2 linked regions of the Oryzias latipes genome follow. The protein of the gene in region 1 purifies or fractionates together with the protein of each later gene. This does not show direct contact. Links are inferred from orthologs where the notes say so. Each region holds a gene or a part of one and is shown on either strand. Other genes may lie near its edges. The genes, in order: lztfl1 and bbs7.

What was found.
Region 2: the proteins of lztfl1 (region 1) and bbs7 purify together in Homo sapiens (affinity purification with mass spectrometry; 3 studies listed by BioGRID and IntAct, counting the BioPlex papers as one, with this or other methods). This does not show direct contact. The link is inferred for Oryzias latipes from reciprocal best matches to the Homo sapiens genes LZTFL1 and BBS7.

Annotation. Positions count from the first base shown.
Region 1 is NC_019878.2:21,515,823-21,520,289, forward strand, and holds the start of lztfl1 (leucine zipper transcription factor-like protein 1), read left to right. Parts: upstream 1-1,663; 5' UTR 1,664-1,917; coding exon 1,918-1,920; intron 1,921-2,199; coding exon 2,200-2,324; intron 2,325-2,791; coding exon 2,792-2,986; intron 2,987-4,467. Other genes in the region: dnajc13 (dnaJ homolog subfamily C member 13), read right to left, coding at 147-172. UniProt on the Homo sapiens protein: Regulates ciliary localization of the BBSome complex. Together with the BBSome complex, controls SMO ciliary trafficking and contributes to the sonic hedgehog (SHH) pathway regulation. May play a role in neurite outgrowth. May have tumor suppressor function.
Region 2 is NC_019868.2:201,010-205,274, forward strand, and holds the start of bbs7 (Bardet-Biedl syndrome 7 protein), read left to right. Parts: upstream 1-1,367; 5' UTR 1,368-1,824; coding exon 1,825-1,860; intron 1,861-1,995; coding exon 1,996-2,061; intron 2,062-2,432; coding exon 2,433-2,495; intron 2,496-2,562; coding exon 2,563-2,738; intron 2,739-2,856; coding exon 2,857-3,043; intron 3,044-3,149; coding exon 3,150-3,222; intron 3,223-3,320; coding exon 3,321-3,428; intron 3,429-3,543; coding exon 3,544-3,674; intron 3,675-4,204; coding exon 4,205-4,265. Other genes in the region: tmem33 (transmembrane protein 33), read left to right, coding at 1-61.

The sequences.
Region 1 (4,467 bases):
TTGGTGCAGCAGGTTGAAGTTATTTTGTTGATATGATGACGAAAAGTCTCCCAATTGAATGGAAAGCACCTCAAACCAATTGTCCCCCATTTAGGCCATAATTTTCAACGCTTTAAACGCCTTCTTTGAAATTGTGAAGGACTCACCTCGACTGAAGGTAAAGAGGAAACATCTTGGCTTCTTGTACTCACTGAAGTTGTTCTCTGAACTTGAGGAGCAGAGCCCTAAGATCACGTTATAAGACATGCGCTGCCCGTTAGTCTAATTTAATTACAGCTGCAGAAAAATGAGGAAAAGAAGAGTTTCCTCCTCTTTTCCTGCTTGAACTCTCCACTAACTGGACAGAACGTAAAGGATTCGGGGCTGCAGAGACCGAGGATGAGAAGGCTGCCTCACAGGTTCTCTGTTAAGACTTGATTTGACTCACATGATGTTAAGTGGTTCAACCCACAAATCTGCAATGAGTCTCAATAGGTATTCAACTTAGAAAGCAAGAATTGGAGTAATAAACATCCTTAAATCTAGACCAAAATGCAGAAAAGTGTTGCCATAAGTAATCGGAATTTTCCTAAATCAACAAGATGAATGGAACTTTAATGGAAGAGCGGTGCTGGGACGAATATTGGAGAATTACTCAATGTTTCTCAATGTCTTAATGCTTAAACTGTATGAATCCTGGACATGTCTTTTCAAAAACTAACATGTTTTAAACAATTTGTTTTTCTTGGGCCACACTGCCATCTGCTGTTGTATAGCACACACATGAATGAATCAATTTGAAACCATGTCATCTTTATTTTTTGTTGTGTGTTTTTAATATTTATAAATAACAACGTAAAAATGTTGACTATATATTATACGTTTTTATTTTGGACAAAATTTAATATTACAAAAGCAAAAAAGACTGAACACTTACTTAAAATGGAACTTCAGAAATATTTGGAAAAAATCTTCAGTTGAAAAAGCCTAAAGGTTAAAAACACACATCTGTAAATGTTTAGGGCTACTTACAGAAACCACACTTCTATCAATGTTGTGTGTTATTCTTCATTCATTGTACCTTTCTTATTGATCTTTTCCTTTGCAAAGTAAATGTAAATAATTTTGTCTTAAATATATTTTTGAGATGTGTTTTTTGTCCTGTCTTTTTATTTAATAATTTATTTAAAAATACAGTACAATAAAAAACATTTTTGAAAGGGGAAACCCGCCTTTCTAAGCCAACCCCTGGTGAAAATGACGCATTCAAAGACGGGCGGACAAACCAAAATTCACAAAAAAGGAACTCAAAAGAAATGACATTCAGCGGTAATAATGGAAGAACATGTTTCGCCCTTTTAGTAATTAAAGTAAGAAGAAGAAATTCGTGCTGTTTTTACATAAAGTATGTGGGGATTTTGTAGTTTCAAATCCCCGTTGTGTGTTTTCTGTGTTTGGGGTTTGCGTCTTCTTTGTGTATGCGTTTTTTTCCCCGGGCACTCTTTCCAATTACAGTCCGGGGAAAACCTTACCTTAACCCAGAAGTAGCTGGGGTATGACTGAATGAATCTCCGTGACCCTGTACCAGACTAGAAAATGGTCGGATGGAATTTGTAGCTGCTTTGCTGATTCTCTCTTCTGCACATACTGTCCGTGAATGCATCAGTCGTAACCAAGGTGATGACGCTGTATTCCGTTACCAAGGCATTCTTAAGGCAAACACTGGTAGCTAGAAAGCTAAGCTAACAGATCTAGAAGATAATCTTTTCTTCTTGTATAACTTTTGTTTAGCTTGTTTCCAAAACAAATACACAGAAAAACAACAACTGCATTTTCTATCCCGCCTGGCTTCACTTTGATTTCATCGTAGCTCAAATTCGGATCAAAATTTCCCCATCGTTTAGATTAGTATTGACGTTAGCATTAGCTGCAGCCACCATGGTAAGTGTTGACCACCTGTTTGCGTTTTCAAGCCCAGAATCTCAAACGTCTTTCGATGTTAGAGCTGCGATCATGTGGAGTTTAGTGGGAAGCTACTGACTGTCTGTTAGCATGCATCTCAATGAAGAGCTAGCAGGGAGACTCAGGCCCTGATACAGGAGAAAATCCGCTTCTTGTTAGCTTATAAGCTAATTATGAATGTTATGACATCTGTTGCCTTCGGATGTGTCTTTATTGGAGTATATTTATTACTTTGATTGATTGTGATTTTCTTTCCAGGCTGACTTGGGATTTAATGAGCACCATCAGAATGAAATGATCAATTACATGAGGTTTGCTCGTTCTAAGAGGGTCCTGAGGCTGAAGACTATCGACTCTTGTTTCGAGGACCTCAAAGAAAGCAGGTGACTAAAGTGTTTCTGATCCATTTTAGCAATGATTTGATTCAGATCTGCGTTTGAACGGTCCGATTCGATGACCTTAAAATCGTTCTAGGACATCTCTAGCCTTTTGAGATAAATACCTGGGTATTGAACAGCGCAGGTGATTTTTTCTAGATTCCTTGTATTTCTTCCAAGACAATCAAGTGTAAATTAAATTGGTGTTCAAACAAACAAGTTAACAATTCTATTCATATTTTAGTTTCATAAAGTTCAGCCCCCTGATATTTTACACATTAGAGCATTCTACCACGCTAACAGTATGATCACATGTACGGTCGATTAGATTCATAACTTGCCTCAGACAGATTTAAGACACTGAATTGTTGATAAATCGATTCTTTGATGACGTTTCTGACCCTGATGACACAAGTTGCTTCCTCCTAAAGCCGCAGAGCTCAACAGCTGTAAATGCTTCTGTCCCCCTGAAGGCTGGTAGAAGAAACCTTCACAGTGGACGAGGTGAAGGAGATGCTGGACGGGCTGCAGGTGGTGGTGCGCGGGGAGGTGGAGGTGGAGCTCATCAACTCCGCTCATACCAACGTGCTGCTGCTGAGGCAGCTCTTCTCACAGGCTGAGAAGTTTTACCTTCGACTCCAGACTGACATTTCTGAGCTGGAAAATAGGTGAGCTACACAGAAGCTGTACTCTCATTTTTTAAAATCTAAAGGATGCTTCAATATGTACTGCAACTCCAACTCCAGAAAATCTGGGAGGTTTTTTTTTTTTTTTTTTTTTTTTTACATTTGAGTGTTTAAATAGAATGAAAACTATAAGACATTCAAACCACAAACTAGTATTTTGCTCACAACAGCACAAAGATCCATTGAAAAACCTTTAAACTGAGAAATTTTACACTGAACATGTATTTTAATATCATGTCCAATACAGGTTTAAAATAATTCAGATGGGGTAACAAATAAACGACAAAAGAAACTTAAGCTTGTGTCAGCAACTGTCACAAGAACAGGCAGACGGTTGGATCCAAATGCAGCAGGTTTATGAGCCCAGCTAAGAGTCCACAAAGTTAAATCTGGGTCAGGTAGGCAGGAGCCAATAAAAGGCATGAGATCATCAGAGGAGAGACAGGGCAGTCAGGATCCAGACGAGAGTTGGGGCAAGCAAACCGCGTGGGACGGACGGACGGACGGACGGACGGACGGACGGACGGACGGACGGACGGACGGACGGACGGACGGACGGACGGACGGACGGACGGACGGACGGACGGACGGACGGCATTGCACAGACAATACTTAACACTGAGCTCAGTGCTGTGCTTAAGTATGCTGTGATTGATTGAGTGAACGAGAGTCAGGTGTGCGGCATCCAGGAAGTGCACGCTGGGGTTGCTGGGAGGTGTAGTGTCAGAGTTCTGACTTCTGACATTCTCAAATGATCAAGAAATGCTTCCAGAAATCCCAGCCCCAAAATGCCAAAGACGTGTCCCATTTTGTAGTCCCATGAGTCCGAATTCTTGTTGGACCTTCACAGTGTTTCTCATGCTATGGAGGGGGGGGGGGGGAGGAGGATTAACATGAAAGTTTTCAAGAACAGCTTTTTTCAAGCCAAATTTCAGGAAGAAAATGCATCAAAACTGACCATAATGCAGAAGCAGGAAGTCTAGATCAGGCAGGAATGAAACCAAAACCCCCAAAAAGTTCATAACCTCAATGACCAAACTAGGAGTTGCTATTTTAAGACTGACAAGAAATTCTAAATTAGCTAATATTTTGCAATAAAGTTTTTTAGATTTTAAAATTCCCAATCAAAACTTTTGTGCTATCTGAGTCTGTGGGTAAAAAAACAACAACAAAAAAACAAGGATTTGTGTGATTGAAAACTCTCTTTTCATTCTTTTGACATTTAGTAAAATCTCAAAATGTTCAGGAATGCTGGTTGCAATCGTTTGAAAGTTTCCATTTGTGAAAAAAATGCAGAGCAAAAGCATCTAACTCTTCCCGTTTTATGTTGTAGCTCCCGTCCTCACTGTAATATCATTTAGATTCAGATCTTCAGGGGACGTTTTCTTTGTCAGGTAAACCGGTCGCCGCTGGGAAGCTACAAAAACGCAGGAACATCACGCATCAGTTTGCCCCAGACCTGG
Region 2 (4,265 bases), on another chromosome or scaffold:
CAGGAGGATGTGCCTCAACAGCATCGCCTTCATCAGCCGGCTTGCCCCCACAGGGGTCTGATTATTACCAATTATGTTAGTTTATTCTTTTACTGTTGCTTTTTTCTGTCCTGGTTTGTTGTTTGCTGTGGAACTGGGCAGACGATGCCATCAGTGGAAGGAGCTTGTGTTTTGAGGATCACATTCAGTCTTTTTCTGTGTGACGGTGCAGTCAGAGATCAGCCTCCAATGCTCTGAAGTCCTTTGGGGAGGTTTTGATTTTCATCTTCTTGCTACAGACGGCAATGTCAAAATATCAGCTGTTCACTATTTATTCAAAGAAATGGTTTATTTTATAATAAAACATTAACAGTCTGAACTACTTGAGTATGTATGTATACATGATAAATCTTGTTTTTGTTTGTTTTAATGCTTGACTTCAAGTGATTTCCATTGATACAAAACATGCTTGGCTAATGTTTTTTAAAAAAAAAGCTTTTAGCTGAATAAAATTTGCTGTATTTTTTAGAATAATTGAACCCGCTCAACCGTTTGGTTTAGGATGCGTATTTAAAATGATTTTGACAAAGCATGCCATGTTTGTTTGAATGTTTTTTAGATGGAAAACTTGACCTCCTTTCATTTATGAACGTTCCTAGCTCTCCTCCGCAAGCCTACTTTTTTTAAACCTGTTAAATGTGCTTTTTGCCTACAGTCATGCCACATTTTTGTATAACAAAAATGAAGTTATCTCTTTAATAAATCAGAAGAAATATAAAGAAAATTCACGTTTTTGTTTGTGGTGATATTCCTTGGTCAGGGCTGCAAGTGACCATCGGCCCAGATCTAACGGATGAAAGAAAAACCCATTCCTGCTGTAAAATAGGCTTATTTTTTCCCACACAATACAACAATCTTTTAAGCTGGAACACATTTGGGTTATCCAAAATCAAAAAGGGAAAAGTCTTTTCTATCTACCCCCTTTTTTTATTTTTACAAAAGGAGATCCTAAAAGCGGATAATTTTTCTGTTTTTATTTGTGAAATTGATTAAAATCATTTTATTCCACATTTTCTAAGACTTTTGCAAACCAAATAATAAATAAAAACAACTCTTTTCAAAAATCCTACTGAAAACAGATTTACATTATTTCTGAACAAAGGCAATCAGATGTGTAACATACATGACAACATTAATTTTCTGGATTGTAAACCTTTTTACTCAAAGTTGCTGTTACGTTTATTTATTGTAAATTATAATGCCGGATTTGTATGAATAAAGTTTTTTTTTAAGCATTTGTCTAATTCGGACACAAGGCCACAGTCCCAGCAGCCAATCAGCTTTCAGATTCATCAATTTCCTTCTTAGCCTTTATCCAATTGGATCGTATTTTACAGACTGTAGCGTCGTTGCCATGGGCAACATCACCGAGGCTACACAGTTTATTTGGCAAAATCAATGTTACACGGTAACTCTTCTGCTCTGCATTCATATCCAAACCGTGTTGCTCAGCGCGTAACGGATGTCCACCTTTACATTCTTTTAAAAACGATGACGTCATCTTTAAAAAAAAGGACAGCTGGCCGTGAATTAATCGTGTTAGCCGATTAGCTTGCTAGCTAGCGTTAGCGCATCTGCATAATCCCCTGCTTTCAGATAATCTCAGTCCTAATTTGCACCGGTTTCGTCCTGTAATTTAACCTTATCTAGATTTTCTTTTACCAATTGTAAGCGAACATAATCATAGTCGGATATAAACAGCACCCCGTAATCTGGTCAAAACCAAAGAGTCGCCGGATTTTTCTGTTATTCCCCGACAAAGTGAGGACGAGGTGAAGGCTGAAGATGGAGATCCACCTTAACAGAGTCGATTATGTTCAGGTAACACGACACATTTAAATTGTATTTATTTGTACTTTTCGTCTTGTTATATTACTTTAATGTGGACGTCTGCATTTGGAGCTGGTGATAGTTGAAGTTAATTCAAACCATCACTGCTCCATCGTTCCCCTTCAGGTTGGAGTGACATCTCAAAAATCTATGAGACTTCTTCCAGCTTTGGGGAAAAAGGCAACTCAAAAGGTAGAGTTTGTGCCGTTCTTTTCTGTTCTTTTGGAGTCTCCTTACTAATCTCAAGAATCTCCTTTTCGTGCTTTAAGTTTTTTTTTTAATTGTTTGAACATTTTAAACTGAAGCAAGCTATAAAACAAGACATTCACAACAAAAGCAATAAGAAAATCATTTTGTTCAATTTCTTTCCAACTAAGTTGCATAAAAACATCAAGTTGAATGCAGAAAAACAGCTGTTTAAAGCCTGCATAGCCACAGCCCTCTGGTCTCCTTTGAGATGCTCTCTTCCGGTTGGAAAACAGTTTGCTGACTTTGATACAATTTTAGTAACATCTTCACTAATGATCTGCAATGTTCCCCAATGAAGGATTTTTGTGTTGCAGGTTGCCATTGCTGATCACGATGGGATTCTGACATGTTTTGGGATGAAGAAGGGGGAGGCAGTGGTGGGTTTAGGTTTTACTGACTCATCATTCACTTCTCCTGCTGTCAGTAAAGAGACTCTCATTTCAGCCTGTGTTTAAAACACTCCCGGGCCAGAAGATCTGTAGGATGGACCTTGGAGGTGCTCTTGGGACTCCTCGGGAGAAGATCTTTGTCTGCTCCGGCTCTCAGGTTCGAGGATTCACCAAGAAAGGCAAACAATTTCTCACCTTTGAAGCCAATCTTACTGAAAGCATCAACGCCATGTGAGACGCGCTCTAAAACTTCTCTCATCATTATTATTGTTTGCTCTAGTTGAGTGAGTTGTTCGGAGAAGTGATGGAGAATTGTGAGCTTTCCCCTTGAGTGGTGTTTGTCTTCCAGGTATGTCTCAGGTGCTGACCTTTTTGTGTGTGCAAGTTACATTTACAATCACTACTGTGACTGCAAGGATCAGGACTACTTCCTGTCTGGAGACAAAATCAATGATATCACTTGTGTGTCCTCGGAAAAGCTCCCTCACCTCACGCCGGTCTTGGCATGTCAAGATCGAGTTCTGAGAGTCTTGCAGGTCAGTTGAGCTTTTATTTCTTTATCTTTTCATTTCAGGAAGTGCATGACCTTCAGTCAGTTCCATATAGTTTACTTTCTATCATTTTATCTGCATGTGACTGAAGGGCTCCACACTTGCCTATGACATTGAAGTCCCCGGTCCTCCATCAGTCCTGGAACTGTACAATAAAGATGCAGGCTAGTCCATTTGTTTTTCAGCTGAGTATCCAAAGAATATTATGGCTTCGATCTGCTCTTTTTACACCAGCTTTGGCATTCCATCCATCTTTTCTCAGGGGAGGAGGTCCTTTATGGAACTACAGATGGAAGACTTGGACTTGTCCAGATTGGCGAGCACTCCGCTGTGGCCAAGTGGGAAATTGATAATGACAATAAAAAAGGGGGTAACTCGCTTTTGGATGATCAAATATTTTCAATCACGTTTTCATAGAAGCTGCTTGAGTATCAGACTCATTTCTAAGTGTAGTTCAGCAGCAAACGGCGTTTGTCTCCTGTCAGGGATTCTCTGCGCCGACGCGTACGACATCGTTGGAGACGGCGTGAATGACATCCTGGTGGGCAGAGATGATGGGACGGTGCAGGTTTATGGCTTTGACAGTTCCAATGAGCCCACCTTACGCTTTGAGCATGTAGGTTTCTATCAGGAGTCTTTGTTGTTTTATTCATCTTCCTTCATTCTAATTAACAGTTAATCTCTGTCAACAAATCCATTCTGCCAAAACTGCATCCTTTTGTTTTTAAACCTGAAGCTATTTCAATTCAGTTGTTCGCTTCCTTTCCTCCCTTTCAAGCAATCTTTGATTTAATATCTATTATCTATTATCCTAAGTTTGATACGTCTTTGTATGAATGCTTATTGTATTGTTTTGTGCATTATTCCTTGATTGCTTGAAATAAAGCATTTCAAATAAATAAAAAAAAACAAAAAAGTTACATTTATTTGCGAAACATAAATCCATAACTTTAGTTGTTGAGCAGGTTGTCAAAGCAAAATGATGAATTCATTTTAAATTTCTTATATTTGTCTTTAACAGAACTTTTGTTTGTAGTTGTTGTTTTGGTGTTTAAAAGTCCTGTTATTGTTTGAAAAAGCTATTTATCCTGATCAGCATTTCATGACCTGAGGGCTAAAGCGGAAACGTTTCCTTCCTGGTCACAGGTTTTGTCTGAGAGTGTGACCTCCATCCAGGGAGGCTGTGTGGGGAAAGAGTCTTATGATG